Linked DNA regions of Astyanax mexicanus. The protein of the gene in region 2 purifies or fractionates together with the protein of the main gene of each other region. This does not show direct contact. Links are inferred from orthologs where the notes say so. Each region holds a gene or a part of one and is shown on either strand. Other genes may lie near its edges.

The links.
Region 1: the proteins of morf4l1 (region 2) and gatad1 purify together in Homo sapiens (affinity purification with mass spectrometry; 7 studies listed by BioGRID and IntAct, counting the BioPlex papers as one, with this or other methods). This does not show direct contact. The link is inferred for Astyanax mexicanus from reciprocal best matches to the Homo sapiens genes MORF4L1 and GATAD1.
Region 3: the proteins of morf4l1 (region 2) and epc2 purify together in Homo sapiens (affinity purification with mass spectrometry; 5 studies listed by BioGRID and IntAct, counting the BioPlex papers as one, with this or other methods). This does not show direct contact. The link is inferred for Astyanax mexicanus from reciprocal best matches to the Homo sapiens genes MORF4L1 and EPC2.
Region 4: the proteins of morf4l1 (region 2) and ash1l purify together in Homo sapiens (affinity purification with mass spectrometry; 4 studies listed by BioGRID and IntAct, counting the BioPlex papers as one, with this or other methods). This does not show direct contact. The link is inferred for Astyanax mexicanus from reciprocal best matches to the Homo sapiens genes MORF4L1 and ASH1L.

The regions. Positions count from the first base shown.
Region 1 is NC_064410.1:50,880,406-50,887,700, forward strand, and holds the start of gatad1 (GATA zinc finger domain-containing protein 1), read left to right. Parts: upstream 1-4,265; 5' UTR 4,266-4,543; coding exon 4,544-4,723; intron 4,724-5,936; coding exon 5,937-6,059; intron 6,060-6,137; coding exon 6,138-6,197; intron 6,198-6,278; coding exon 6,279-6,462; intron 6,463-6,547; coding exon 6,548-6,735; 3' UTR 6,736-7,295. UniProt on the Homo sapiens protein: Component of some chromatin complex recruited to chromatin sites methylated 'Lys-4' of histone H3 (H3K4me), with a preference for trimethylated form (H3K4me3).
Region 2 is NC_064416.1:24,296,705-24,304,810, forward strand, and holds the start of morf4l1 (mortality factor 4-like protein 1), read left to right. Parts: upstream 1-5,100; 5' UTR 5,101-5,245; coding exon 5,246-5,285; intron 5,286-6,838; coding exon 6,839-6,885; intron 6,886-7,689; coding exon 7,690-7,757; intron 7,758-7,912; coding exon 7,913-7,999; intron 8,000-8,106. UniProt on the Homo sapiens protein: Component of the NuA4 histone acetyltransferase (HAT) complex which is involved in transcriptional activation of select genes principally by acetylation of nucleosomal histones H4 and H2A.
Region 3 is NC_064418.1:14,790,846-14,798,172, reverse strand, and holds the start of epc2 (enhancer of polycomb homolog 2), read right to left. Parts: upstream 3,179-7,327; 5' UTR 2,906-3,178; coding exon 2,753-2,905; intron 1-2,752. UniProt on the Homo sapiens protein: May play a role in transcription or DNA repair.
Region 4 is NC_064410.1:28,539,080-28,546,763, reverse strand, and holds the start of ash1l (histone-lysine N-methyltransferase ASH1L), read right to left. Parts: upstream 3,082-7,684; 5' UTR 2,915-3,081; intron 1,237-2,914; exon of another isoform or gene 1,132-1,236; intron 1-1,131. UniProt on the Homo sapiens protein: Histone methyltransferase specifically trimethylating 'Lys-36' of histone H3 forming H3K36me3. Also monomethylates 'Lys-9' of histone H3 (H3K9me1) in vitro. The physiological significance of the H3K9me1 activity is unclear.

The DNA.
Region 1 (7,295 bases), on a different chromosome or scaffold from region 2:
CAATTTTTAGCATTGCATCGATGAGAGATTTGTGGGCCGATACAGAAACCCCATATTTTTTATGTACATACTTGTTGATCGAGATCCATATTCAGAATTTCTACTACAACTTCTTGGATTGCAGCTGCACAGAAATTTGTTTAAAATCATGTATAAATTGCAGACATTGCCATGCATTCTACTCTTCTGAAGTACCGTTTACACCAAAACCCCTCAAAATACATGCAAATAGTAGGAATAACATTAGGTTCAGTATCTTCTAAAGATGCACAGAATATTTGGCAACCAAAAATATTTGTCAACAATATTCAGCTGAATATTGCACTTTTGGTATTTGGACAATAAGTGAAAAGGGTGAGTAATTCAAACTAAACTGTGACTTATGTATTTTACGCTGTTTCAGATCACAATTATTAATATATTTTACTATTTCTTTCAGCAGCTGCACTTTACTGGATTCAACTGTTAGCTAAAAACTGACAGGAGGGCTCCCTATAGCCATAGGTTAATATGTCCATAGTTAATGGTCATTGGCCATACACTACAAGTGATTATGTGATGGTGATTGAAAACACTGGAGTATTCCTTTAAACTAGGGGTGGCAAACATACAGCACACAGTTCTAAACCGGAACAATACTGAAAAAAAATTAAATCACATTATCTCATTGTAATTCATTAGATCAGCTAAAAACAGTCTTCATAAATCACACATTGACACTGATCTATAGACATAAACAGGGACAGAGCAAGTTCACAGCAAAACCAACCAGAATCTCAATTTTACTGACACTTCACTAAGATAGGACCTGATGTTCTTCAGAAATGTTAGCTAGCACAGTTAGAGCACTGTTGGACCTGCAGGGTTTGATCACTGTTCATGAACTGCTTTATTGGGACCTGTTATAATACTAAAGCTCTAAAAGAGGCAGCAAGTAGAGCTGATTTTGTCAGTCAGCCACTATTTCACAAAATGACCTAATGCTCTATAATAATTAATAATCACGTATAACCATCAGTACTAAACGGAAAAAAAAAGTACGAAAAAAATGCAGTGTCAGGTTTCGATTAAAATCATTCCGAGTTCACGTTGGACATGACATTAGTTTGCCACCCCTACCACAGGGGAAAAAGAAGTGTATACACTATATGTACAAATGTTTTGGGACACCTTTGTTTCTTATGAAATCATGGGTAAATGAAAATAATATACCCTGCTTTCTACTAGAGTTTGTAGATTGCTGTGAGGATTTGATTGCTTTCTGCATTATCCACAACTTATTCCAAAAGTATTGGATGGAGTATGATTATTTCAGGCACATCTGGAATTAGGCATAGTGCCAGTAGGTTCATGTTCATTGGTCCTATTGGCAATACTTTACTATTGAGGACTAGACAAGCTGTGTGTGTGCAGTTGTACATCTGTGTCAGCTAGTAGCTAAATGCATTCAGTAAAAGGGGTGTCCACAAACATGTGGATTTATAGTGTAACAGAAATATGATATTTGTGTGTGAAAAGGAGAGTGCTAAGAAGCTCTAAATCGTATGATGAAAAATGTGGTTCTTTCTGGGTTCTTGTTTAACCTGTAGAGGAACCACAAAGATGAGGTTACAAAAACAAACCCATTTACCTGTGTGAATAGAAAGTGAGTTATACTACTCTTTTATTTATTTCTTTTTCAAAAAGAGAAAAATGTGCTAATGCACACTGAAAGATTTAAAAAGAAGTTTTAAAAATTAAAAAATGCAGTTTGCTTTATCAAGTACTGCAGTGATCTCAGTCCACAGGCTGACCCATGACCCCACCATCAGTCTCGCTTGCTTGCTTCATGCACTTGCACACAAACCTGTTGCACTTTGTTAAAAGAGACAGGTTTGCTTCAAATGACTTGAAGCCACTTCTTGACCAGTGCTTCAGGGCATCCCGGTGATGACATTGTGCCTACTTTTGCTATGAGCTGGGTATATACCCAAACTCATCATCCCCTGGTTGAAATGGTTGACTGCTTGACATTATTAAGCATTGGATTATTCTAGAAAGTCTGTAATATCTGGTGCACAGCTGGAGCCTTTTCCAATCGTGTCACCAGGGGTCACTAAAGCTCAAGAAGAAAGGTTGGGTGTAGGGATTTGGAGACTGAAGTTTGCTTTTCCTCTAAACACGCTCATTCAGTTCTATCATTCAGTGTGCCTTTTATGCCCTTCCCCTATATTGTCTGTGTGTTGCCACATTTAAGTTAACCTCTTATAGTGAAGATTTCATTCACTTAATGAAAAAAGTGATTAAAAGAGACTGCATTTTTTGTTACTCACTTTTACAATCAAAGCATTTTGCGGGAACATTTTGTATTTCCATGGGCCAACCATGTGTTAAATCATTGCTTAGATTTCTTTTACACTGGATTGAGTCCTGTGTTAGTTGGAATGTATACTCTGAAATGGGGAGTGAGAGGATTGAAAACCAGAGTTGCAATGTGTGTCTGACTAAATTGTCATTTAAAAATTACGTTGTGTTTTACTGTGATTAATTTCAGTGCCCTGGGTTGAATTAATTGTAATAGATTACAGACATTTTGCCTGGAAGAGTTATGAGTGTTTTCCTTCATTTTCATGATTCAGACCTCATTCAAGCTGTTCCTGTACATGGAAGTAGTCCATGTGATTTGATTGTTCTGAACAGACCACCACATGGACATTATTAACTACAAAGTACAATTTTTTCAAAGTAAAAACAAAATGTTTGTTTGGAAGACAGGAAGCAAACTTTTCCTGATGTGGTGTGGTGCTCACTTCACCATTTAAAAGTCTCTTTTAGGTATAAAACCATGGGTGTTGAGAAGTAAGATACCATAAGGCTAATCTCAGGTTCAGTGTGGGCCTATAAACCACAAGCATCACTATTTAATTACAATTTACCTATTAACTTGACCTGACCTTCAGTTTTCTAGCATATCAACCTTTATTAATAGAAAATAATAAAAATGAATCAAATAGTGTTTCAAAACTTGGCACTAGTGCTTTGATTGCACAATTATTGACTTAAGGCTTGGTGATGGCTTGAAACACTTTAACAGGATAGGGAAAAGTGCTTAAATTTTTTTAAAGTTTGCATTTATTAGATGACTGAAAGCTCGGGAGTTGATATGTACGAGGATGATGTGTACGTGTACTTTGGTACGCAATCAAAAATACCGCCCCCCCCTGCTGACATTCAACCATCTGGGTCTCACCACTATCAGAAGCACACTGCTCAGCCCAATCAGCTCTCTCTTCTTGCCCCACCCCTAAAACCCATACATCACCCAGTGCCCCTCCCAAACTGTCATTCCCATGTTTTAGCCTTTTTTAAATTTGAGCGGAGGGTGGAGTCAGCAAAAATCAGGGGGTTTAGTTTCCCTTTAAGCTAATGATGGTTAGCCTGGATTTTGCATATTTACCACTATGACACCGACAGGAATTTTAAATTGTGTTTACTTTTTGTTACAATAGACTAGGGGTGGGCAATTAATTTAACCAAGGGGCCACTTTTGTAACCAAGGGACTATTTTGTAGGGCTGGGCCTACTGATTGATCTCTATTTTGCTCAATGTTCATTTTATCTCTTTTTAAAAATCCAGTAATTATATGGTTTTCATAACACATTACTAATAAGATCTTACACTTAGGCGATAAAAATGTAAAGGCATAGTAAAAAAAAGTATATTATATAATTATTTAATTATGAAAGTGAAACACTAAAAGTGTTTTAGTAAAAGAACAACAATAAATTCAAAATATTCTTGCTATATTTTCCGTTCAGTTTCTGAGGTGGATTTGTAAAGGGCTGGATATACGGATTGTTGAAAACAAGAAGAAAAAATAATTTTGGTTAATCATATGTATAGAAAAATATCAGTTATGGAAAACTAGAACAGACTAGAATGACAATAGATCAAACTTTTGAATCAAGTAATATTGTTTTTAATCAAAGTATGAGAGAACGGAAGAGAAGAGGGACTTAGGACAAAAAAACAAAGCCAAAAGATTGGACTTTGTGAATTTTAAAAATGTAAAATTGTTACTGTTATAATATTTTGTAGGTAATGTTGTTGTGTTTTTTGTAATTGTAAAAAAAATCTAAACTTTTTTTTTCTAAATAAATTCTTTAAAAAATAGAAACGCAAAGGGGCAGATAATCTAATGCCCAGGTCTGCATTGAGTTAGTAAAGGGGCTTTTATTTTGAAGACGCCGTTGAACTCGGCCGGAAGAGGTAGCTCAGTTTGAGGACAAGGGGGGCTTTTATTCTGTAGATAATGGAGGACAGGGTTTGTTGTTGCAGTTCATTGTTACTAAAATTATTATTTGCAGGGTTTAGACATTTTCTATTAATTTAGGAATAAAGTCTACAGACTGGGAGTGTTTTGTGTATTATTTAGCAGCGTTTAATTGCGCTGAGGAGCAAACAGCTAGCGTTAACTAGCTATATCTATCTTTAATACGTACTGTGCGGCGGTGAGACCTGAGAGCAGTAGGTTAACGTTAGCTAGGCGGGTACAGAGGGAAGATGCCGCTGGGAGTGAAGCCGAGCTGCGCGGTCTGCAAAACCAACTCCTCTTCTATGTGGAAAAAAGGAAACCAGGGAGAAATCCTGTGTAATAACTGCACTTCTAAAAGCAGTGTTGCTGGAGGACCCGGGCTCTCCGTCTCTTCCACCACTCAGCAGAATAATGGCGGAGGAAAACAGGTTTCATTACACTTCTGTTTTTATTGATTTCTATGTTTCTAACCTAGGTTAGCTAGCAGCAGTATTTCTCGCAAATGGCTACAGATTTCTAAAGTGCTTCTAAAAGCAGCCTGAGCCAATAAGCGTAAGTTACTTGTTCCAAAAATCTACACTGTCAATTGGCTCTTGCAAATGCATGTAAATCATTCGATTCAAAATAGTAAGAATATCATTTAAAAGTTACTTTACTTTAGTAATTCAGTTAAAAACTTATGTTATATAGATGTATTACTCACACAGTGTTCTACTTTAAGCAGTTATTTATTTCATTGTTGATGTTTATGGCTTACAACCAGTGAAAACTCAAAAATCAGTGTCTCTTTATGTATAATATTATATAAGACTTGGCAGTGTGCCAAGTCCTGCTGAAAAATGAAAACCGCCTCTCCATAAAAGTTGTCACCAGAGGGAAGCATGAAGTGCTGTAAGATTTTCTGTGAAAACACTGCACTGACTTTGGACTGGATATAACACCAGTGGACGAACAGTGCACCAACTCCAGCAGATGACACGGCTCTCCAAACCATCATTGATCAGCAGTAAATTTTGCATTTAATTTAGAAATTAAGGGACCAGAGTCTGGAGGAAGAGTGGAGAGATACAGTCCAAGCTGCTTGAGGTCTAGTGTAAAGTTTCTACAATCAAGCAAGACTTTCACGTAAGCCATAATCATCAACAATAAAAGAAACAAATGCTTAAAATGCTTTTTTTTTGAGATGCACTAGTATATTGTTATGGCCCCCAAAATAATATCACAATATTTCACTGTATTTTTGAGACAATATGACAAAATATTATAAATATGTAATATTTTTAAAAATACGTTTTAAGAATTTGTACTGCAGCAAAACATATGTTTTATTCAGTTTAAATATAAGAGTTTCAAACTGCACACAAACAATTAAAAGTAAAAAAATTGTATAGTGGAATGTAATTTTGTGCATCAACATTTTTATGTGGATACTCCCCTCTGTGTATCAACCATTTAAACTTCTCCATTTGCTCAGTCGATGTTTTTTCAAAAGATTTACCCGAGTAATGTGTGAAAAAATAGTACAGAATTACATTTATAGGTAAATAACATTTAAATCACTTTCTGAACATCTCAAATGCATATAATCAGAGAATTTGTACTTTATAACAGCACTAACATGTTGATTCTGTTTCCTTCTAGTCTAAGCAAGAGATCCACAGAAGATCAGCACGACTGAGAAGTACTAAGTACAAGGCACCTGCATCTGAGAAGAAAGTCTCAACTAAGGGAAAAGGAAGGCGGCACATTTTTAAACTAAAGAATGTAAGTTCTATCCATGAACTTCATATATTATGCTTAAGTAAAGCAGAGTGAGTAATATATTTTTTTTCCCTCCCTCAGCCTATCAAAGCTCCAGAGTCTGTATCCACAATTATTACGTCAGAGTCAATCTTCTACAAGGTTTGACTTTCTAATCGACTTTTAAATGGAATTTCAGAAGCGACAGTTTTTCCCCAATTCACTTTCTTCCCTTTTCTCCAGGGTGTTTATTATCAAATAGGAGATGTAATAAAGGTAACAGATGAAGAGGACGGTAAACCGTATTTTGCACAGATTCGTGGGTTTGTTCAGGACCAGTACTGTGAAAAGAGTGCCGCACTAACCTGGCTAATCCCCACTCAGTCTAGTCCAAGAGATCAGTTTGATCCAGGCTCTTACATTGTTGGTAAGTTAATGTTGTATTCTCATTTTAGCAATTGATTCTTTTTGTAGCATTTTAAACATGACTAAGCAAGTATTTACCTTCTCAGGTCCAGAAGAGGACTTACCAAGGAAAATGGAGTATCTTGAATTTGTCTGCCATGCTCCATCAGAATACTTTAAGTCAAGGAGTTGTCCTTTTCCAACAATACCCATTCGCCCAGAGAAAGGCTACATATGGACCCATATTGGACCTACACCTGCTGTTACAGTCAAGGAAACAGTTAGCTGCAGTTAACTGTTTTGTTCAGCCTTGTAACCTGAGACCAATATTCAAATACGGAATAGAAGAAAAGATTAATCAACGATTCGCAACCAGGCAAAATGATGGACATTTTTACGATCATCGTGAATTGAGTGTGAATTTCCACACCACTGCCAGAAACGAATGCTAACAACTCTACTCTGCTATACAACAAAGCAGATGTCCAGTTGCTTGGTACTGTAAAATGACAGTAGAGAGTGGAACCCTGTTGTCTCTGGGGACAGAAGACTTGATACTTAATTGAAGTATTAAACAGTTGGAACAGTATCTCTGTGCAGACTATCTTGATGAAAACAATAATTTGTAAATATTGTAATGGACATATGTTTGTTAACAAAAATAATAAAAAATATGAATAAAATATAATGTGTCTGAGATCAGTGAATGATCTGTTAATAGTAAGGTTATCATTTTTGTGGAAAAAAAGTATTGGGACACCTGTAACTTTATGTACTGTAAAAATTTGATTGCATTTATGCACAAGAGCATTGGTGAGGTCAGAAAGTTTGATGATCACTGCCCCACCTCATCCT
Region 2 (8,106 bases):
TATGACAATATAAGAAATATAAAAATAAGCTGTTGTGTTGTATAATTAAAGTATGTGATGTTATTTTGCTTGTTGGCAGCAGAGGTGGAAACTTTGTTCACCATCTTCAAATAAGTGAAAGTGCTTATACCATACAGTAGATATATATTCAGTTACAAGTGGAGATCCTGCACTAAAAATCGTAAGTAAAATTATGTTAAGCTATGATGTTTATCACTATGAAAGAGATTTGAAAGCGTTAAATCTGCTGATTCTTAGCATAATTTAAATGATGTGGATTTTAAATGGTAGAGCAAGCGAGGGGAGATAATATATGACGATTTTTATAGCAGATATGTCTCCAGTGTTCAGGCACCGTATGATTTATAATAAAAATATTTAAAACGCAGCATATTAGAACATGCTCCTAGCATAAGTGTAGGTGGGCTTTTGGATATACTATATCACTGTGTTAGGATAAAGTTTAATTACGAGGCTGAAGTTGGTTTGATATTCGCAGCTCCAGATTCGTTTGGCTCGATATTCGCAGCCTCGTATTCCCCGGCTGAAGTTGGTTTGATATTCGCAGCTGCCGCTTCACTGAACCACCGTGAACTAAAGGGAGCGTTCACAAACACCCGCTGTTTATATTAAACACCTCACAGATCAACACTGAAGGAGATAGAATGAAGAAAAGCAGTACATCTGTTTATTAACAATGGAAATATACAATATATTATTAAATATAATTTTATATACACGACCTTTCATCACTTATTTTCTCCAGTTTTACTTACAACATGAATTTGCTTTTCTAGTGTAATTCATTCATTTCCTGAGTAAAAAATATCTGAAATAGAGATTTAGCCTCCTACTTTCAAGAAAACCTGGCATTATCCTGTCCGGAGCCAATTGTATATTGTAAAATATTTATTTTAATTACTGAATTTATAATTATATATTATAATAAGTAATAAAAATATATATTTAATAAAATTATATTTTAAAAGCCATTGCGCTCAAAAAATATGAGGCAGATGTTCAAGTGTGATTTTGAAGAACTTTTTCATGTTGGGCCAGAACAAATACACATGATCTGAAGAGTACTAGTCTTCTACTGTAAGAAAAACCTGGAATTAGCCTGGCCCAAGCTGATTTTATACTTTAAAATGAACTGCCAACATGGAATACCGATCCATAAAGCACAATTTTTTATGTAAAGCTGATGTTCCAGTGTGATTTTGAAAGACTTTTTCATCTTGGGCCAGACCAAATACACATGATCTGAAGAGTACTAGTCTTCTACTTTAACGAAAACCTGGAATTAGCCTGGCCCGAGCTGATTTTATACTTTAAAATGAACTGGCAACATGGAATAACGATCCATAATGCACAAAAAAATTGAATATAAAGCTGATGTTCTAGTGTGATTTTGATGGACTTTTTAATCTTGGGTCAGAACAAATACACATAATCTGAAGAGTACTAGTCTTCTACTTTAAGGAAAACCTGCAATTAGCCTGGCCCGAGCTGATTTTATACTTTAAAATGAACTGGCAACATAGCATACCGATCCATAATGCACAGTTTTTTTTATGTAAAGCTGATGTTCTAGTGTGATTTTGAAGGACTTTTTCATGTTGGGCCAAGATGAAAAAGTCTTTCAAAATCACACTAGAACATCAGCTTTACATAAAAAAAAATGTGCATTATGGCTCGTTATACCATGTTGCCAGTTCATTTTAAAGTATAAAATCAGCTTGGGCCAGGCTAATTCCAGGTGTTCCTTAAAGTAGAAGACTAGTACTCTTCAGATCATGTGTATTTGGTCTGGCCCAAGATGAAAAAGTCTTTCAAAATCACACTAGAACATCAGCTTTACATAAAACAAATTGTGCATTATGGCTCGTTATACCATGTTGCCAGTTCATTTTAAAGTATAAAATCAGCTTGGGCCAGGCTAATTCCAGGTTTTCCTTAAAGAAGAAGACTAGTACTCTTCAGATCATGTGTATTTGGTCTGGCCCAAGATGACAAAGTCTTTCAAAATCACACTAGAACATCAGCTTTACATATAAAAAAATTGTGCATTATGGCTCGTTATACCATGTTGCCAGTTCATTTTAAAGTATAAAATCAGCTTGGGCCAGGCTAATTCCAGGTTTTCCTTAAAGTAGAAGACTAGTACTCTTCAGATCATGTGTATTTGGTCTGGCCCAAGATGAAAAAGTCCTTCAAAATCACACTAGAACATCAGCTTTACATAAAAAAAATTGTGCATTATGGATCGGTATTCCATGTTGCCAGTTCATTTTAAAGTATAAAATCAGCTCGGGCCAGGCTAATTCCAGGTTTTCCTTAAAGAAGAAGACTAGTACTCTTCAGATCATGTGTATTTTTGGTCTGGCCCAAGATGAAAAAGTCTTTCAAAATCACACTAGAACATCAGCTTTACATAAAAAAAATTGTGCATTATGGCTCGTTATACCATGTTGCCAGTTCATTTTAAAGTATAAAATCAGCTCGGGCCAGGCTAATTCCAGGTTTTCCTTAAAGAAGAAGACTAGTACTCTTCAGATCATGTGTATTTGGTCTGGCCCAAGATGAAAAAGTCCTTCAAAATCACACTGGAACATCAGCTTTACATAAAAAATTGTGCATTATGGATTGGTATGCTATGTTGCCAGTTCATTTTAAAGTATAAAATCAGCTCGGGCCAGGCTAATTCCAGGTTTTCCTCAAAGTGGGAAAGTAGTTCTCTTCATCTGATGTGTATGTGTTCTGGCCCAAGATGAAAAAGTCTTTCAAAGTTTGCCAGTTCATTTTAAAGTATAAAATCAGCTTGGGCCAGTCTAATTCCAGGTTTTTCTTAAAGTAGAAGACTAGTACTCTTCAGATCATGTGTATTTGTTCTGGCCCAACATGAAAAAGTTCTTCAAAATCACACTTGAACATCTGCCTCATATTTTTTGAGCGCAATGGCTTTTAAAATATAATTTTATTAAATATATATTTAATTATTTATTGTAATATATAATTATAAATTCAGTAATTAAAATAAATATTTTACAATATACAAAATTATATTTAATAATATATTGTATATTTCCGTTGTTAATAAACAGATGTACTGCTTTTCTTCATTTCTTCATCTCCTTCAGTGTTGATCTGTGAGGTGTTTAATATAAACAGCGGGTGTTTGTGAACGCTCCCTTTAGTTCACGGTGGTTCAGTGAAGCGGCAGCTGCGAATATCAAATCAACTTCAGCCGGGGAATACGAAGCTGCGAATATCGAGCCAAACGAATCTGGAGCTGCGAATATCAAACCAACTTCAGCCTCGTCTTCAGCCTCGTAGTTTAATTAGAGTAAAGACATAAAAAAAGTTTTTTGTTCATTAATTATTTTTTTATTGTTATTATTAATTGCCATTTACAGTTTTGTGACATTCAAGCCAATAAAGGCAGTGATCTCAGGTATTTTAATGCGCAAGGGAAACAGAATTATCATGAAAAATAAATATAAAAAAGCTGTGTTCTTTGTTAAAATGCTTGATTAATCTGGAAAAAATAATATAAGTTAACCAAAAAGTCTCTAGACTTGGTATGTTTTTTCTCATTTTAGTCTATTTTCCTTACACTCTAAATTTTCCTGCACTTCTCTTTTGGTTATATGTCCCTTTCTCAGTGTTAAATCCATCCAGTCCAGTCCATCTACAGGCGCATGCGTGTACTTACAGCAAGCGTTTAAAGTCAGTGCCGGTGTTACAACTGCGAAGTAGCGCCCTCTGTGGTCACAAAACCCGACGGTCACAGAAAACGGTGTAACATCGGTTTATGGAAAGCTCTTGTCCTCCGTTATACTTTACAAAATAACTGCACACCGCTAGAGGGAGTCAATGAAGCCAATTAGCTAAAAACTCAAATAAATGAAAAATAGTAACTAATCACTTGTCCAGGACATCGCTTTAATATTATCAAGTAGTTTCAGACAGTAAAGACCTGAATAATTAGCATTACTGCTACTGAGTGCAGACTGGTTGATGAGCTGGTGCTGGAAATATGGAAATACAGTTAGAGCAGATTTTAAAATGCCCAGAACATTTGAACATTTTAAAGGACCATTTTCAGTATAAAAATGTATAAGAATGCATTGAACAAAGTCAATATACTCTCTTTCTTAACTGTTTTTATATTTTTAGAGAAAATATATCTTATGCATTTTTTTTTTTTTAAACAATACATAAAAAACCCGAATAAACTAATGTTTGGAATAAGGGTATCTTTTTAGCGAATATTCGTTTGTGTATAAAAATGTACCTAAACTTATAATTAAATTTACTATACTTGTAGTCAGATGAAGGGTCATCAAAAAAATACAATATATACTGGAATTTAAGAGGAATTTCCTTACCCAACCTCCTCTTCAAGTCTTAAAAAAGAGCAAGACAATACACAAGAAAAAAAGTGTTTAATGGACTAAATGTGGCTCCTTTACAAAAAACTCCTCACTTATATATATAAAAATACACAAAATAGCATTAACCGAGTAGCAAGGTTTAATATAGCAGTTATTTTATTTTATTATTGAGAACATATAATAAAAGTCAAAATAAAACGACTGTTTATCCTTTGTTGAGCTGACCATTTAAGGTACTTTTTAATTTGCTAAAATGATACCATTATTCCAAACTTTTGTTTATTCATATCTAAATAATTATATACACTCACTGACTAATTTTCGACTAATTAAAAAAAAAATCATAAATCCATCGATATTTTATTTGAATCCCACTTTTCTTTTCTTTTCTTTTTTGCTTTGTTTGTTTATTTGTGTTTTTGTTTTGATGTACTTGTGATGCTGATTGTACAGGATGTGTATTTGACCTATTATTGTGTCTATTTTAGGCTGTTGGACTGTATTGTCCTATTACATTGATTCAACATTGGGGTTTATATTTATGGTTTGTATTAAACTTTACTTGAATTTTATGTTTATATATACTGTAAACAAGAAATAAAAATAAGAAGCATATATGACCAGCAAACCATTGGGCTGAGTGGGGAGCGCCCTCTGGCGGTGAGATGAACCCGGAACACGCTCTGAATCGGTGCAGATCCTTGTTCCTGTTAGGTCACATGTCCAGGGCGCCAAAATAACGCGTCAACAGAGAGCCGTAGTGCGGCGCCTTCACCGTGTCTGAATGAACCCGGAGCTGGCGATGCCTGGATTTGATTTTCCAGATATTTTTATTGTTTAATCTGTGAATGGCGCCTAAACAGGACCCTAAACCTAAATTTCAAGAAGGTAAGAGCGCTGCGGGGCGCGCCGTGCGGGGCGCTGCTGCTGCTGCGGGGGGCTGTGCTTTTGTTTGTGCTAATGGAGAGAGTCGCACAATGGCGCTGAGAGGAGCTGAAACACAAACACAGACCCGGAGAGAACCGCGGCTCTCAGGGATCAGAGGACTGGGGTCCGGGGAGCGGACAGGGTTATCAGCAGGGCCGCGGGTCTGTCTGGTATCTGCGGTGTTTCGGGTTTAGATGAAAGCCTCTGGGAAATAAGGCGGGTTGTCTCTCTGTGTGAATATGACCTATAGCTAGCGTTAGCCAATCAGCTCTCCCCCTGATCCACTACTACTACTACTGCTGCTGCTGCTGCTGCTTCAGCCACCAACTAAACTCTAATAGAATAGCTTAGCTTGCCTTAACATAATATTATGTCGCTTTAAAGCTAATTACATTAGCAAAATATCATGTAAGCTATTTTGTTTTTACAAGGCTTTCCAAGCTTCCTAAAACATCACAAACCAAGCTTGAAAATGTGTGGAATACTGACATTAATGAATTCTTAGATGATAAATCTGTAATTTATTATAGAATAGCATAATATTTTTACTCCAAGTATGAAGATAAGATGTTTTCACATGGAAATGCTATTACACAAAATTCATTACAGTCCTTGCAATGTACATGCTTATGGACTTAATGTTTCAAATATGTGTTAGAGATTCTTAGTTATAAAATAAGTTTCTCCATATGTTAGTAAATTCCTTTATTTGTTTTGAAGATGTTTAACAACATGGTAGTTAGTTATAAGCTAAAAATAGCACAATAGCAGTCTTGGCAATAAAAGCCTGTTCATTTCCAAATGTGTTGCGACGTTTGTTACGAACATGCGTTTGTGGGACAAGCGGTAGAGCTGAGTATATGGGTTATGATAAATAAAAAATGGCAAATCCTTTCAATTAATTGTATAATGAAGAAATGGTACAAACTGGAAGTCCAACCTAATTAGCTAGCTATTAGGTTTGTTATTTGGGAAATGTATTCTCAGTTTACTTAAGCTACAGCTATTTTGTGAAGGCCTCATATGTTTGTTAGAGAACACTAGTGACACATGGTAGTTTAAGAAAGATTAGATAGCCCACTGTTAAATCCATCATCCAAAAATGGAAGTAATGTGGCACAGTTGCAAACCTACCAAGACATGGCTGTCCTGGCAAGAAGAGCGCTAATTAGAGATAAGAGCCCCATGGTCACTCTGGAGGAGCTGCAGAGATTTCACAGCTCCCTTATGGAAAAGTAGGCAGAAAAAAGCAATTTTTTTGAGGAAACCAAAAGAAGTCCCATAGAAGACACAGCAAGCAAATGTGGAATTGTGAGAGCAAATGTGCTCTGTTCAGCTGAGACCAACGTTGAACTTTTTGGATTAAATGCAAAATGCTATATGTGGCAGAACACACAACAATCCTGAAGAAAAACCTGTTAAAGGCTGCAAAAAAAAAGTTGTTAAAAGAAAATGCAGTAAGGGTGGCATGACCTGGCCTAATGTTGTCTTGCTTTTTTGTGCCTTTATTTCAGGTGAACGAGTGCTGTGTTTTCATGGGCCATTGCTATACGAAGCTAAGGTAACTTTTTCTTTATATTATTTTTCTTCGGAAAATCTGAATAGATAGATTGAATGCAACAAATTGTATGTGACCAAATACACCATTTACTGTCGTAGCAGAATTAAACAGTGTTTGTGGGCTGGTCTACAGCACAGTTTGTTGTTTTTCTTGCTCAAACACATTTAATTAAGCTGCTAATTGTAAATGTAATGCCTGGCCCAGACTAGACTATAGGATCTTCACACAATCTTTCACCAGTCTTTTGTCTTTAATCAATGTTAGTTGTAAACCTTCTCACACTACATGATCCACCCCGAATAAAAGCACCACACAGAAGTGGATAACAGCAAAACAATTTGTCAGTGCTTCCTGCTTAAAACAGTAGGTTAACACAATTTAAGTCCAACCTATGTAGTCTATAATCTCAGCTCTCTTGGTTGACAGTCTTCACGTTTCCCACCAGACAATCATCATCATCATCCTCACTCTAAAGGTTATTGAGTCATAAATACAAAAAATGTTTGCCACTTATGCCTCACGATTGGCACAGCCCCAACTTTTCTGGGAAAAGATCAAAAGATCAGAGAAAATTGGTCAGATTATCCTGTGGTGTGGGCCGGGCAATAACAGATTTCAGGTGGGATCAAACCAAACTAAGCTGAGCACCAACACAGACCCTGTCCTGAATATCTCTACAGCACCGATATTTCCGGGTGCTGCACCCCAAGTGTTGATCATGTCAGTAAATCTGTTTAGCCTGTTTAGCCATGTGCTTGAAGTTTGTGTGGAAAAGATTTACCTTATTGATCCTCTCTTTTACAGTGTGTAAAAATCAATATTAAGGACAAACAAGTGAAATACTTCATTCATTATAGTGGATGGAATAAGAAGTAAGTATTCTCGTGTTTGTTTTGATGTCAATAAGAGATTCTGCTGCAGTATTAGCAGATTGATTGTTAAAATATTGTTTATTTATTAATAAAATAATAATGCATTTTATTTAATAAGTATAAAGTGCTTTATAAATTTGTCCTGTTTTTTAAAGCTGGGACGAATGGGTTCCTGAAAGCCGTGTGCTCAAATATGTGGACAGTAATCTGCAGAAACAGAAAGAGCTTCAGAAGGCAAATCAGTAAGTTTCTTATGGCGCCAGCTAAGAACGGCAGAAAACGTATTTGTATTAATGTTAAACATTCAGTTCACATTAAGACACTCTTTTTTTTTTGTCATACCTCCTAC
Region 3 (7,327 bases), on a different chromosome or scaffold from region 2:
ATACGTCTGTGTCAGTAATTAATTTTTATCTTTAATTACTGTCATATAATATTTTGCCATATTGCCCAGCTCTATCAGTGCGTGATTACGTACACTAAGGGTGGGGGCTTTTATACTCTTCATATCGATGATGGAACTATAATGTAGTAAGCAAAGTTAATACCTATATTGTAATATAAATTTTGGCCATATCACCAAATATTAGCCAATAAGTAATATGAGCCAAATACAGTACATACCAAATATAAAAAATAATGCAATTTCTTTATTGTGTAGAATTTTTGGCAATATTATTGTGACGCACAATACGATATCGAACACCCTACTATCTAAGACTCTTTATTTTCCAGTATAGCAACAAACATGATAAGTAACAGACACAATTTTGTATTAATAAAGGTCACACCACAGACCTAAGTTTAGGCCTGTCACAACAATTACTTTATTGCCCTGTCATACAATAAATGAACATGACCTAATGACAGTAATGATACTGTCTATTGTGTTTATTTGCTCACATAAATAACAGTAAACAGTATTGTAGCCAGTCATGCAAATGACCAGTGCTTTAAAAACTCTACCCATACACACAGTGTGGTCTGCAGTAGGTGAAAAAAGTATATGTACCAAAGTATGATTAATTTCTAATTGTGTTGTCTTTATAAAAAGGGTACAGTTGCTTTATTATGTTATAATATTACCATAATGTCAGTGGCATTTAACGGTATAAAAAGGATAATATTGTTTCACAATAATTTCTGGAATGATATATCAAACTATTCTTATCATGACACACCAGTATACAGCTATTATTAGTAATCTCCACATAATATAAAACTTTTAGACGTTAATAAAGGTCACACCACAAAACCAAGCTTCATAAATCACTGAATAAATCATTTACAAACGTCTCATTAAGGTTTTAATATCCAAAGAACAATATAACCTATATAATAAACCATTCGAATAAATAATTACAGGAAAGAGCAGGATGTTAGATTTAACCTACAGATGTAGGTGAAAAACAGTGAATTCATGCTAAAATAAAGCTTGAATTTCCCAACGCGCCATAATCTCAATTGCTAGCTAGCTAGTTAACCTAACTGGCTAGATATATATTAGCCATCTATCTACTTTAGCTTAGCTAGCACCACCATCAGTTTAATAAGCTATAGAGCAGTGTTGTATTAAAATGATCCTACAACCTTTTTACACACACGCAAACAACCAAATAGCGTAGGTTTTCTCGTAAGCATTAGCTAATAAGGATCCGAGTCTTTCCTTTTTTAGCTAAGCTAGCTAAGCTACAATAGTTAGCAACCTAGCTAGCTAACAATCCAAGCTAACGCTAACCAAAATAGCTAAATACATGTTTGTATGCTTAAATAGGTGTAATATAATGAATGCTTAATGGTGACAGAGCACCACGCAGTTCAATCATCACCTAAAATACTGCAGATTTAACTTAGCTAGCTAAGCTAGGCTAACTGTTGTGTACACGTTAGCTTAATCTAGCCTAGCCAGGCTTTGAAGCGGTGCTTTGTCGATTTGCGATACCTTGTCAAAACGTGCTACCATGGTGTATAATGTAGTTACTACCTAAGTAGTTAAAGCTGCTTAAATAAAACAGCCAAGTATAATTCTGAGAATAATTCAAGCAAAAGTAGGGCTGTTTACTTTCACCCAAACATCTAAAGCGCTGCTCCTTGCCTCCCTGCTTATTTATACATCTAGGTAAAGCTCTATTTCATTTTAACTGCTAATAATAACACTAGGTTATATTAGCTGCTATTTCACATTTTTCTTCATTGTAAATTTTCTAAACGTTTAACAAGTGTCTAAACTTTTTTAAATAATGCTTATTATTGTTGTCCTTGTGGTAATATTATTACTTTAACGGATATTATTCAAATTTACTTGCACTTAAACATCAGGTAAGCCACTCTGGGAACACATTACTGTGTGCGCGCGCATAAAGCAATACGAAGTCTATTAAAATGCGCAACGTTCATAGCTTTACTAGCTAAACTATATATTTACGTTATACAGCCTAAACCATTGTAGCTTAGGTTATCAGGGTGGCTAGCTAGGTTAGGTTAGCTAACGTTATAGACAACTAAGGTAAAACAAAATACAAACATATCTTAAAAAACGAGTACAAGCAAACTGAAATTGTGAAACTTAGCCGAGTAAAACTATTGAGGAATTACTATGAAGTTCTGTAGCTAAAATTTGTTAAAAACTGGTATTGTGTGCGCATGCGCAAAATGTATAGGAAGCACAAATCGACAGGTAGCGCAACTCGACGCAACACAGGCTCCGCTTTTCAAAACGCGCAGATGGTAACGGACCGACACTCTACGACGTGACGCAGCTAGCTACGCAATTCACGACTCGGCTCACGCTAAAGCACTAGACAAAGGCATACAAAGGCGTAACACAGGCGTATGTACGTACGCAGGACTACGTACGCACGACTGCGTACGCAGTTTGCGCAGAGCTCGTTTGCGTAAACCACCAGCAACATCACACAAAAAAAAACACCACACACAACGCCGCCCTCGCCATCTTCTCTCTACACTACGCATACAGCGTAGTATATAGCTAACTGCCTAGATAGCTCATGTTAACCGTCGCTTACGCAGTTAGCGTAATGACCGTTTGTGAATACCACTAAGAGCCATGTATCGCCACACACCCGAATATACCCGTGTATGAAGTGGAATAAAGGCGATTTAAAGCGATAACCTACCGATTCCTCCTCCTTCTCCATGCCCGTCGGCATCTGCGGGACCGCGCGGTTGATGGACACGCAGTCGTTGAGGTCCGGGATGTCTCCATTGCGGTAAATTGGAAGCGGTTTGGCGGCGTCTAGCGCCCGCGCTCGGAACGAGAGTTTACTCATGACGGTGTGATTTCACGCAAACAACACGACGCCGAGGAAACGCGGGGGGGGAAACGGGCCGCGCCCGCCGGATTCTCGCTCCGCCGACTCCTTCTGCCGTCGCCGTGCCGATCATTGACTCCCTCGCGTTCGAAGGCCGGCGGCCGGGGCCATTCCTGCAGCGGGGTTTAGTGGCTGCGCGGCGCCGCGCTACTCCTACTCGGGCGCTCCGCTCTCGGAGCCACAGAGAACATGGCGGACATGAACGCAATCCCGGCAGGCAGCGCGAGACACGGAGAGCGAGCAGCAAGCAGCAGAGCGCGTGCACGCGGCGGGTGCGGGTGCGCGCGCAGCTTCTCGCGCTCACACACAGGCACGAGCACGAGGACGCGCGCTCACGAGAACGTTACGAAACGCAAGCGGCCTGCGCGAGACGCAGGATTATAGTTAGCTATAGGCCCCCAAAACACAACAAACACACTGCATTTCTGCTTTACAGCGGATTTAAGGGCCACAGGCGAACATTACACACATTTATTCAGTATTTACAACCCTAACAATTTACCAATAATCTCCCATAATTAACACACACAAATCATGACCTAACTTTAGGCTAATAAACAAAAAAAAAAAACATGTAAAGACCACTTCAAAATGATCAGTTTCTCATTTTTATAGGTATATATTTAAGTAAAATTTTAAATGAACATGTTTTATCCTGTGAACTACTAACATTTCTCCCAAATTAAAAAGTAAAGTCAAACAAGTTTAAAGAACATCTTTGTTGACTCCTCCTTTTCTATGTAATTAATTTGTCCCTTAATTGTAAATAAATAAAGAAAAATATTAAATGAGAAGATTATATATATATATATATATATATATATATATATATATATATATATATATATATATATATATATATATATATATATATTTTATGGCAAGCCAAACAGGAAATATATAATAAAAGCTGATATATATATAATGAAAGTCGATATATATATAATGAAAGTGATATGTATGTAATGAAAGCCGATATATATATATAGAAGGCCGATATATATATAATGAAAGCGATATATATATATAATAAAAGCCGATATATATATAATGAACTCTGATATATATATATATATATATATATATATATATATATATATATATATATATATATAATGAAAGCTGATATATAAATAATAAAAGCGATATATATATATATATATATATATATATATATATATATATATATATATATATATAATAAAAGCTGATATATATATATATATATATATATATATATATATATATATATATATATATATATATATATATATATATATATATATATATATAATGAAAGCTGTTAAAACCCTTTAAGAGGTAAACGGGTGGTCCGCACAGTCAGCCTGAGAGACTGAAGGTGGCGTTGTTGTTTCAGCCGGCCGCAGCTCCTCGCGCAGGGGAATCCGACCACCGGCAGGCATCGCGGCGCATTCTCTCCACAGAGGAGCGGCGCGACCGGCCTCGGACTGGCTTTAAAGTGTCAGGGGGCGAAGGTGGCAAAAAAGCTCCGGCCCGCGAGCTGCTTTCACCGAGCCGGGGACGGTCTACCAGTGTTCATTATATATATATATCAGCTTTCATTATATATATATATATATATATATATATATATATATATATATATATATATATATCACTTTCATTATATATATTACTTTCATTATATATATATATATATATATATATATATATATATATATATATATATATATATATATATATATATATATCAGAGTTTATTATATATATATATCAGCGTTCATTATATATATATTAGCTTTCATCATATATATATATCAGAGTTCATTATATATATATCAGTGTTATCCTTACTTCCTTTTCCTGATTATTTAATTTCCTGTTCCTGTTTTTCCCCCAAGCTAGCTGCTGTTGTTAAAAAACTTATGGAGTGTTATTTGTAACAATATCATATAAATAAATGAATAAAGAAATAATTGCTTAAAATGTTAAATAAATATTTAAAATGAGATTTAATTAATTAAAAAATAATTAATAATTAGTTTCCCAAATCCCTATATTTCCATATATATACATATATGGAAATATAGGGATTTGGGAAACTAATTATTAATTATTTTTTCCGTATACATATATAGGGAAATATAGGGATTTGGGAAACTAATTATTAATTATTTTTTCCGTATATATATATAGGGAAAATATAGGGATTTGAGAAACTAATTATTAATTATTTTTTAATTAGTTAAATCTCATTTTAAATATTTCCATATTAACTCCATAAGTTTTTTTAACAACAGCAGCTAGCTTGGGGGGAAAAATAGGAACAGGAAATTAAATCATCAGGAAAAGGAAGTAAGGATAACACTGATATATATATATATATATATATATATATATATATATATATATATATATATATATATATATATATATATATATAATGAACTCTGATATATATATATATATAATGAAAGCTGATATATATATATATTGAACTCTGATATATATATATATATATATATATATATATATATATATATATATATATATATATATATAATAAACTCTGATATATATATATATATATATATATATATATAATGAACGCTGATATATATAATAAACTCTGATATATATATATATAATAAACTCTGATATATATATATATATATAATGAACTCTGATATATATATATAGAAAGTGATATATATATAATGAAAGCGATATATATATATAATGAACTCTGATATATATATATAATAAAGGCTGATATATATATAATGAAAGCTGATATATATATATATATATATATATATATATATATATATATATAATGAAAGCTGATATATATATAATGAAAGCTGATATGTATATAATGAACACTGGTAGACCGTCCCCGGCTCGGTGAAAGCAGCTCGCGGGCCGGAGCTTTTTTGCCACCTTCGCCCCCTGACACTTTAAAGCCAGTCCGAGGCCGGTCGCGCCGCTCCTCTGTGGAGAGAATGCGCCGCGCTGCCTGCCGGTGGTCGGCCTCCCCTGCGCGAGGAGCTGCGGCCGGCTGAAACAACAACGCCACCTTCAGTCTCTCAGGCATATCAGCTTTTATTATATATATATCAGATATATATCAGAGTTCATTATATATATATATATATATATATATATATATATATATATATATATATATATATATATATATATATATATATATATATATATATATATATATATATCACTTTCATTATATATATATCACTTTCATTATATATATATCGCTTTCATTATATATATATCGCTTTCATTATATATATATCGCTTTCATTATATATATATCGGCTTTCATTATATATATATATCAGCTTTTATTATATATTTCCTGTTTGGCTTGCCATAGCTTGCCATAATATATATATATATATATATATATATATATATATATATATATATATATATATATATATATATATATATATATATATATATATATATACCTGCAGTCTGTAAGAGAGGGCAACATTTTATAGTAAATGGCCTTAATGTGCCCCTTGCTACCATTCCTAAAAAGGCACACACATAAATTGTAAAAACAGTGTATTTGACCTTTTTCTGGCCATAATAGCTTTTGCTGGTTACCTGAGCAAACATTGTTCTGCTATTGGTGCTGTTACAAAAGCTACTGCCAACATGGAGATACCATAACAGCAAAAATACTTTTATTCTGTATTTACAGCACTAACATTTCTCTCTCAATAACACACCAACAACATGTATAACTTTAAGCACTATTTTCACTATATTTTATTAAGTATAATGCAGAAAAATAAGATATGCCTGACAAAACACCTTTTAATACCCCTATGAAAATAACTAATCTACACATTTTTATATGTTTAAGGTATGCCTTATTTAAACATTAAAAGAATAATTCTACTGGCAAAACCCCACTCTGACATTAAAAATAAAACTAGCAAAGGTTTGGACAATATAGAAAATGTAAAAATAAAAAATAGATTTCCTTGTCATTACTTTATTTTAAAATCAACATTTTAGTGAATACAGATCAAACATTTCATGTCTATCAAACCTTTTATTTCTTTACAGTTGTCTAGTTTTTATGTCTAAATTCAAACATGCAGAATTTGTGTATGATTCTTCTTACTGATCTGAAATGATTAAGTGGAGTGGGGAGTGGCAGCTTTTCCAAGTGTCCTGTAGGAGAGTCTCTAAAGCCCTCAAAGTATTCAGAATGTAATTAACTTATTTCACTGCAGAGAAAAAGAGTTTTGTATCATCTACACTTGTGGCCCATACACATGATGAAGTGATTTAGGTGTTATTTTGTCCTATTCTTTAGGCAACACGTTTTAATATGTGCAACAGTATTCAATGTGTTAA
Region 4 (7,684 bases), on a different chromosome or scaffold from region 2:
CAAAGGTGAGGCAGCTCTTTTAAATAATAATGAGATGGTCAGCAATCTGTTTGAGACTAGGCTCTCCTCACATTGGTCTTTATCTGCTTAAGGAATGGATAGGAGAGGAGGCACAGACACTGGTGTAGACTGTGGGAACTCCTCCTTTCTTGGCAGCAAATAACCTCTCCATGGGTCAGAGGTCAGGGGTTGCTCAGAGGTTTCCAGACAGATTCTCCCTTATCAGCTGCTGAGTGGTCAGTCAGTAAAAGAAGCTCTCCTCTAACATGCAGACCAGCCACAGGGTTCCTAGCAAGTGTGCACGTTCAGTGACCCATTATAATTGAGGTTCCTTCAGGATGAATTGTTCTTCATTTACTGAAGCACCAAAACCACTGACAGGTGAACAATCAGATCATTGTTTAACACTTTGCAATTTCCCTTTCAACTTCCTTGCTTGTCAATAAGAAACGGTGGTAAATGAGTGATAAATAAACCAGTTAAACCACTGTGTAAACACACTAGGCGTGAAATTATGAGCCTTGTAGCACTTCACCGCAGTTACTTGGGGATTGCAGAAGTAAGTTTAAAACATAGTGAGTATAGAAGCATCTAACCTAACTCTGAAGTGTGGCTAACACACTTACTTTCTCACTTTCTTTCTTTCTTTCTCTCTCTCTCTCTCACACACACACACTACAAAACAAGGCATCTGTCCCCAGAGAACTTTTAGTACGGCTCATATTCTCTGTTGTTAACTCAAGAGAGCTGCCTGTCTGAATTCCAGCACAGGCTGCTTGTAACAAATGACTAATAAAAATCTTGGATCTCGAATGCAGACTTCCAGAATGAAAACACAGCAAGCTGGGCATTTTGGCTACACGTTTTTCTCCCGCTGCAGTTCTAATGAGACTGGCTACATCATGACTTCCATCGTTAGTTTTGGCAAGAGCCTGGGAAGTCGTAAAAGCACTACCAACACACAAACATGTGGATCCTAAGATGCTAAAACTGTGATTTGAATGGAGACTCATTGAAATCTCGCATTAGACACACACTGACACTGCTATTTCACTCACAGCCGTGTGGACCACCAATGTAACTGTATGGCAGAAGATAACTGGGTAGCTAAGCTAAAGAAAAACAACTCACCGTGATTTTAGCGCTTTCTAAACCAGCGATCACATCGTTCAGATCCACTCAAAATCCACTCTGCGTGCGTACCAACATGGTTCCCTTGGGAAAGTGATGTTGAAACTGTTGAAGTCCCGAGAAGGAAAAAGGAAAAAAAGGTCAAAAATGTGGAAGAAAACAAACACAGGCAGCCAAGTAGGATACAGACAGACGTCTTCACAAATCTTGCAAACGTCTCCAACTACCTAACGCAGCTTATTCCTCTTCATTTATCATCCTTGCTGAACTAGATAACAGCTCGCCTCGATCACCAACATCCAGGATCATCGGAACAGCGTGATCCAGCCTGAGAGAGCTTTAGAGGGACATGAACCCTAGCTAGGTTAACTGGATGCTCACGGTCAGGGTGTCTGCATATGTGGAGAATTAGCTAACCTAAATTTCAGACGTTTAATACCACGTTAATAATAATTGAGGACCACTTTCGCAATAAAAACAAAAATGAAACTATTCTGAGAAAGGGACCCAGCCTAATAGTGGGGTTATCTAACCGGTTTTTGAATTGAATGTACAATTCCCTACAACCCCCGCTTAGCTACAGTAACGTTCACCTACCCAACTACCGTTTTAATTCAGCCTGCAGTTAGGTTAGGTAGGTTAAATCTGTAAACAATCTTACATGTAAAATTCGGGAAATAACAGAACTGTAACCTAGGTTATTTAATGTCAGACATTTTAAGACCGTTGGGGGATATATATATAAGACATTTTAAAACAAACGAGATTGTATTAAACCTTCTATGACCATCCAAAACATATATTCAACGTTAGTTAACGCTAGATGTTAACGTCAACTGCCACCAACGAAATGACGGCAAGTGAAAGGTAACGTTAGCTAGCTAACGCTAGATATCAGCACCAAACATAGCTAGCTAGGTTAGTTGATCAAATGCTTCGTTTGATTAGCTAAACATTTGTGTTGTTGTGGACACAGCTAACCCAAAGCCATTCATTATACGAGTAGACAACGTTTTCGTTGTTTCTATGTTTTGCAAGGAGGACGAATAACATTAGCTTATCCCGCGTTAGCAGCTTATTACTTTACTGTAACGTTACCATAGCTAGATTATATCTGTTATAACTCTCTAATCTAGCTGCGTTAAGGGTTCAGGCTTCGCTCTGTGATGGTAGGTTAGGGTGGCTGTCCAGCAACGTGGCTGTAAAAGCAGTGAATGCGATAAAGCACATGTTCCACAACATCACGACCAATTATAAAAATAGCAGAATAAACTCAAAGTGGAGCCTATTAAGCAGAAACACTGATTAGAAACTGGGCTGAGGTGTCTGTCCTGTCAGTGGCACATTACTGACTGGCACGGAGAGCTCGCTAGCTAGCGTTAGCTAGCGGGCTATATCTGCGAGCGTTCCGCACGTAGCGTTACTCTACATTGCTAACAGCTAGCTCACGTTAAACGAGGCGCCCGCTGTGGTGCAACTCGGTTAGCTCAGCTAACGCTAGCTAACCTAGGTTACCCGAAGTGTTCCTGCGCACCCGGGACAAAAACAAAACAGAGCAATAACAACACCCCGGCGTCTCCCGGAGCACAAACACAATAAAGCGCAGTGACAAGAGAGGGAGCTGTTTGGAAAAAGCTCCGCACAGGTTATTAAAAAACACCAACTGTCAACAAAATGGCGGCTGCGTTGAATCAACAGAAACCCGAAATGGATCTCTTGCTCTCTCCTTTTCTCTCTCGCTTTCTGCGCCCTCTCCCTCCTGCTCGTCCCGACGGTAGTTTACCCGTGAAAGTTTCCAAAATGTCGCCGTATTCCTTCTGCGGGGACCGCGCTAGTCGAGCTCAGGGCTGTCCGAGCGGGCCTGTGGCGTTAATCGGGCCTCCATGTCTGCTGAGCCCGTATCGTTTCTGTCAGTACAACACGGGCATTCTCCCAGTCAGCGGCGGGAGGGGAGGGAGGCAGACACAGGGAGGAGGGGTAGGGAGTGAGTGAGTGAATGAGGGAGGGATGGTGGATGGAGGGAGGGCGCAATAGCCTATGTATACAGCTATTGGTGTTTCCACTTTCTCCTCGTTTTCCCTTCAGTTGTATAGCTAAAGAACGGACTCTACAAACAAAATGTCCGACTGTTTGTGTTTATTTCGCTGCACAAAGTACAACAGAGGCGCGATGGCCGCCCTGTCCGAGGACGACTGTGGAAGGGGTCGTGTTTTCGTGCGCCCCGTGCCACCGTTGACACTCAGTCAGTGAAAAACAGTCAGTGTAGACTCCCCTGGGAGTCAGTAGCGGAGAACCGGTCTAATAAACAGCCCAATAAGTGCGCGTGTGCGCACAGGCTCGAGGTCGTTGGGGCACAACCGTGAAGGTTTGTGTCAAAGCGCTGTTTTCAGTTGGTGTGTGTTTTTCACGCTCGCGCAGCCCGGAGTTCTCCTATTGGCCGCCGCAGACTGGAGGCGGGGCTGAGCGGAGGGCGGCTGAACACGTTGATCTACGTGGATACGCTGCTGGTTGGACTGCGGGTTTGTTTGGGGTTTGGTGGATGAGCTTCGTGTTTAAAGCCTGCATGTAAAACAGGGGTGTCACTTAACGGCGAGTTTGAAACAGAGATGATTCATTCGTTAATTCATTAATTCACCTTTAAAGGTGTATAATTCGACATTTTAACATAAATATAGCAGCAAACAACTGCTGTCAATGTAAAGATGTGGAGCTCTGTAAATGTGTTCTGAGCAGAGAATGCACCCTCTCTATGTTTGTGTGTGTTGTCAGTTTATGGTGTTCCTAGCCTTAGAAGGTTGCAGTGGGGTAGCCGTGATGCTAACAGCTGGCTTTAGCAAGATTAGGACAATTCTAACAAACATTGCTCTTAAGGCACTTTGACATTGCATGTGGTAGCCGCACCACTGTACGCTGACCTCCATTGGGTTTAATTGTTTCTCCAGGCTAGGAAGGTTTGGAGTGTGCTATGCCCGACATTAGCAACTGGCCTCAGCAAGCTTGGAGCCGTGATGCTAACAGACATAGCAGCTGGGCTCGGCAAGTTTCAAGCGGGTTAGCTGCTATGCCAGCAGCCAACCTTGACATGGTTGGAGCTGTGATGCTAAATTTGCGGTCATGTTGGCAGGCGATAAGTTGTTCACGTTGCCCCACATTTGTTTCTTGTGGGTGTGTTGTGGGTATTGGCCCTGTCATGAGTGGGCATGTAGTGGCATGGCCGGTAATCATGCTTACAAGCTACCTATCAAGCTATCCACTACTTTTTCCAAGCTTTACTTTTATCCAAACTGCCACTATATTTGTAAAAAAGGCATCATATAGAACAAGAAAGGAATAGTCAGCGGCTATAATGCTTTCTTTTGTGTTCAGAAGCACACCACTAAGGAAAAAAGTATGGTAGGAATCAAAGGTTCACAAAGCAGAGGGTGGGGATCTCAGAACCCTGTATCTGTGATTAGTCGGAAGAATTTGTTTGGCCATTTGTTTGTTTGGTGTACTGTGTCGTTTGACAGCATCATACTTTTTGCATAAAGTCAACTATATTTGCTGCACTGTCGCTTGCCTCTAGTTGCAGAATCGCAGCTACAAATTGCACCCCTTCCCCTTAGAAAATGAATGGTTGCTTGTCACTCTGTTGCTATCAGAAGATTGTGGAAATTGTGGCCATGAAGTGATGCACATGTTTAAACAGGCCTAAAGTGTGCTAAGAAAACATTGACCATGACCGCCACACCATGACCTTATCCAGCAGCCTGGACTGTTGACATAATAAAATGCCTTCTGGTGCCTTAACATTGAAATCCACACTGAATTAGTTATTATTGTATGTTTTTTACAACCCAAAATTGGGACAATATGGTACATATAAATAATATGCTTGTACTATTGCTCTTTACCCCATTACTACCCTTTGGGATGTATTAAAAGTCTGTATGCAATTAATTCGAATCCTGTTCATGTAGCTTGCCATCAGCTGCCAAAGACCTGAGGGAGCACGATTGGCCTTGCTCTCTCTGGGTGGGTAGATGGTGCTCTCTCCCCACATCACTCTAAAAAGGGTGATGTCGCTCAGCCCCAGGGGTCTTTGAGCTGATGTATCGGAAATGAATTGCTGCGCTTTCCATCTAAGTGCACTGGCTACTTGGCAACTCTGGATCAGCAGCAAGTTTCCCTTTTTGGCTGGAAAGTACCATATTTAGCCCTTTTTCCCGCCGTCCTCCTGTATTAGTATTTTCCCGTAAATTTCCAGTATTATACATATTATAATAAAAAATAAAAAAACATACTGTGCCTCTCCAAACTGAAATGTCACTAACCTCGTGAGAACTGTCACCCAGGCTGCTGCAAGTGGCAGTTCTCACGAGGTTAGTGCAGACAGGTGGAACAACCCTGGAACGACAATTCAGAGAGATGGATGGATGCAAGGAGAGAGTGGGTATTCCTAAAAACACCATACTATGATGATACATACTCATACATACTATGTACATACATATATATACATACTATGTATAATATCATACATACTCCTTCTGACTGCAGACAATACCATTGACCAAAAAAAAAAAAAAAAATATATATATATATATATATATATATATATATATATATATATATATATACACACACTGAACCTCGGTTGGACTAGTGGGACATCTAGAAGCGGGCGGTGGAACATTTCCCTTCTTTTTACAACAAAATCTTGACAGGTATGATCAGCAGCAGTTCGAAAAGAGGCACTGGCTGACTTCATATGTACCGAAGGAGGCATGTGCTAGTCTTCACCCTCCTGGTGTTGGGGCATCACTAGTGATCGAGGGAGTCCTGATGAGTGGGCTAGGTAATTGGCCTTGTAAATTGGGGAAAAAATGGGATAAAAATAATACTAAAATTATAATATAATTATAAATTATAAGAAAAAAATAGATTCATTTAAAAAAATAGATACATTTAAAAGGAATGCAATTGTGTAAAAAGGTAATGATTGAATGCACTAATCGGACAGCTCCAAAATTATTATTTTATTATAATTATCATTAGTATTTTTATATTATATACTTACCGAAAAAAAAAAAAAATATATATATATATATATATTTTTTTTTTTTTACAGGATTTTTCTTTATCATGTAAAATTCTAATTTTTAATATATATATATATATATATATTTTTTTTTTTTTGTTCTGACAGGATTGATATATGTAGTAATGATATATGTTTTCATGTTATGAGGATGTAATGACATAACAGTCAGGGTGTGCAGTAAAGCTTCAGACAGCAGCTTACTTTAGGAGTCAAGGATATTTTGGGCTGCACCCTGTGATGACTGGAATGTAAAGCGTCCCAGCATTTTGTAACCTATGGCAGTCAGCTGTCAAAGATAATTCATCAATAGTTTATGACAGGGGTGTCTAACTGCAGTGACTGGAGCTGTTGGTAATCTCAAAGTGCATAGCAGAACAAAACTCAACAGAACAAACTGGCCTGTAACATTCTATACACTACATTAATTTATGTTTAAAGAGGGAATATTATTCATTTTTATGTATTGTTTTTTATTGTTTTCAGATTTCTGCATGTAAGGTCTGTGATTTAATAGGATCTATAGTCTGGTGGTGTCCTGCAGGCTCACCAGTGGAACTAAAATAGCACCATTATATATATATGTTACAACAAAAACAAAAAATCAACTACTGTATGTCAAAGTAAATACTATTTACTATAGCACCTTTAGACACTAAGATATAAACCATGAAACAGGCTGGTAATGAGAACAGTAAGGACCTCATCCTGCCACAGATGGTACATGATGCAGCTGTGACTCATATCCTAGCTATGAAGTGTATCTCTGTAAATATAATTGTAAGCATGCTGACATCAGCCCACTTGCAGAAACTTTAAGCTTAAAGGAATAGCTCACCAAAACCTATTTTTACAGTTTCTCCCTTTTTCTAGATGCAAGCAATCAGCTTAGATATATTTTTTTGTAAGTTCATTGTATTACAAAAGGTGCTAATAGATTTTGTTTTCGTAGAACAATAGCTGCCACAAAAGAACCACAAAAAAGAATGGTTTAAAGAACCTGCAGTTAATGTTTTTTTTAGCATATTTAAAAGATCTATACACTCAAATATCTCTATAAATGCTAAAAAGGGCATGAAAAAGGCCAGTCATTATAATGTGCCGTGATTTGTAACTCCAAATGATGTAATTAGATGACTCAAGTATATGATATCAAAACTTGTAATATCACTGAAATGGACACATTTCGGCAATCTGAAGTAGGCTAAAGTGTCCCTATGACCTTATAAAAAAAAAAAGAACATTATGATAAATCTTCACAGTAGTAGAGAGTCAATTCTTCTTCAAAGAGTGCAGTCACAAATCACCCAGCAAGTCACGGAATATCCCAGACGAACATAACAGGCACTGCAGGCCTTACTCAAGTTAAATAAGGTCAACATTTACGAGACTAAGTAAAAAGGATGGTGCAGGTGAATTGCAAGGTGAAATCCACTACTAACCAAGACCAAAATAAAAAGTTTGTTTTAGGAA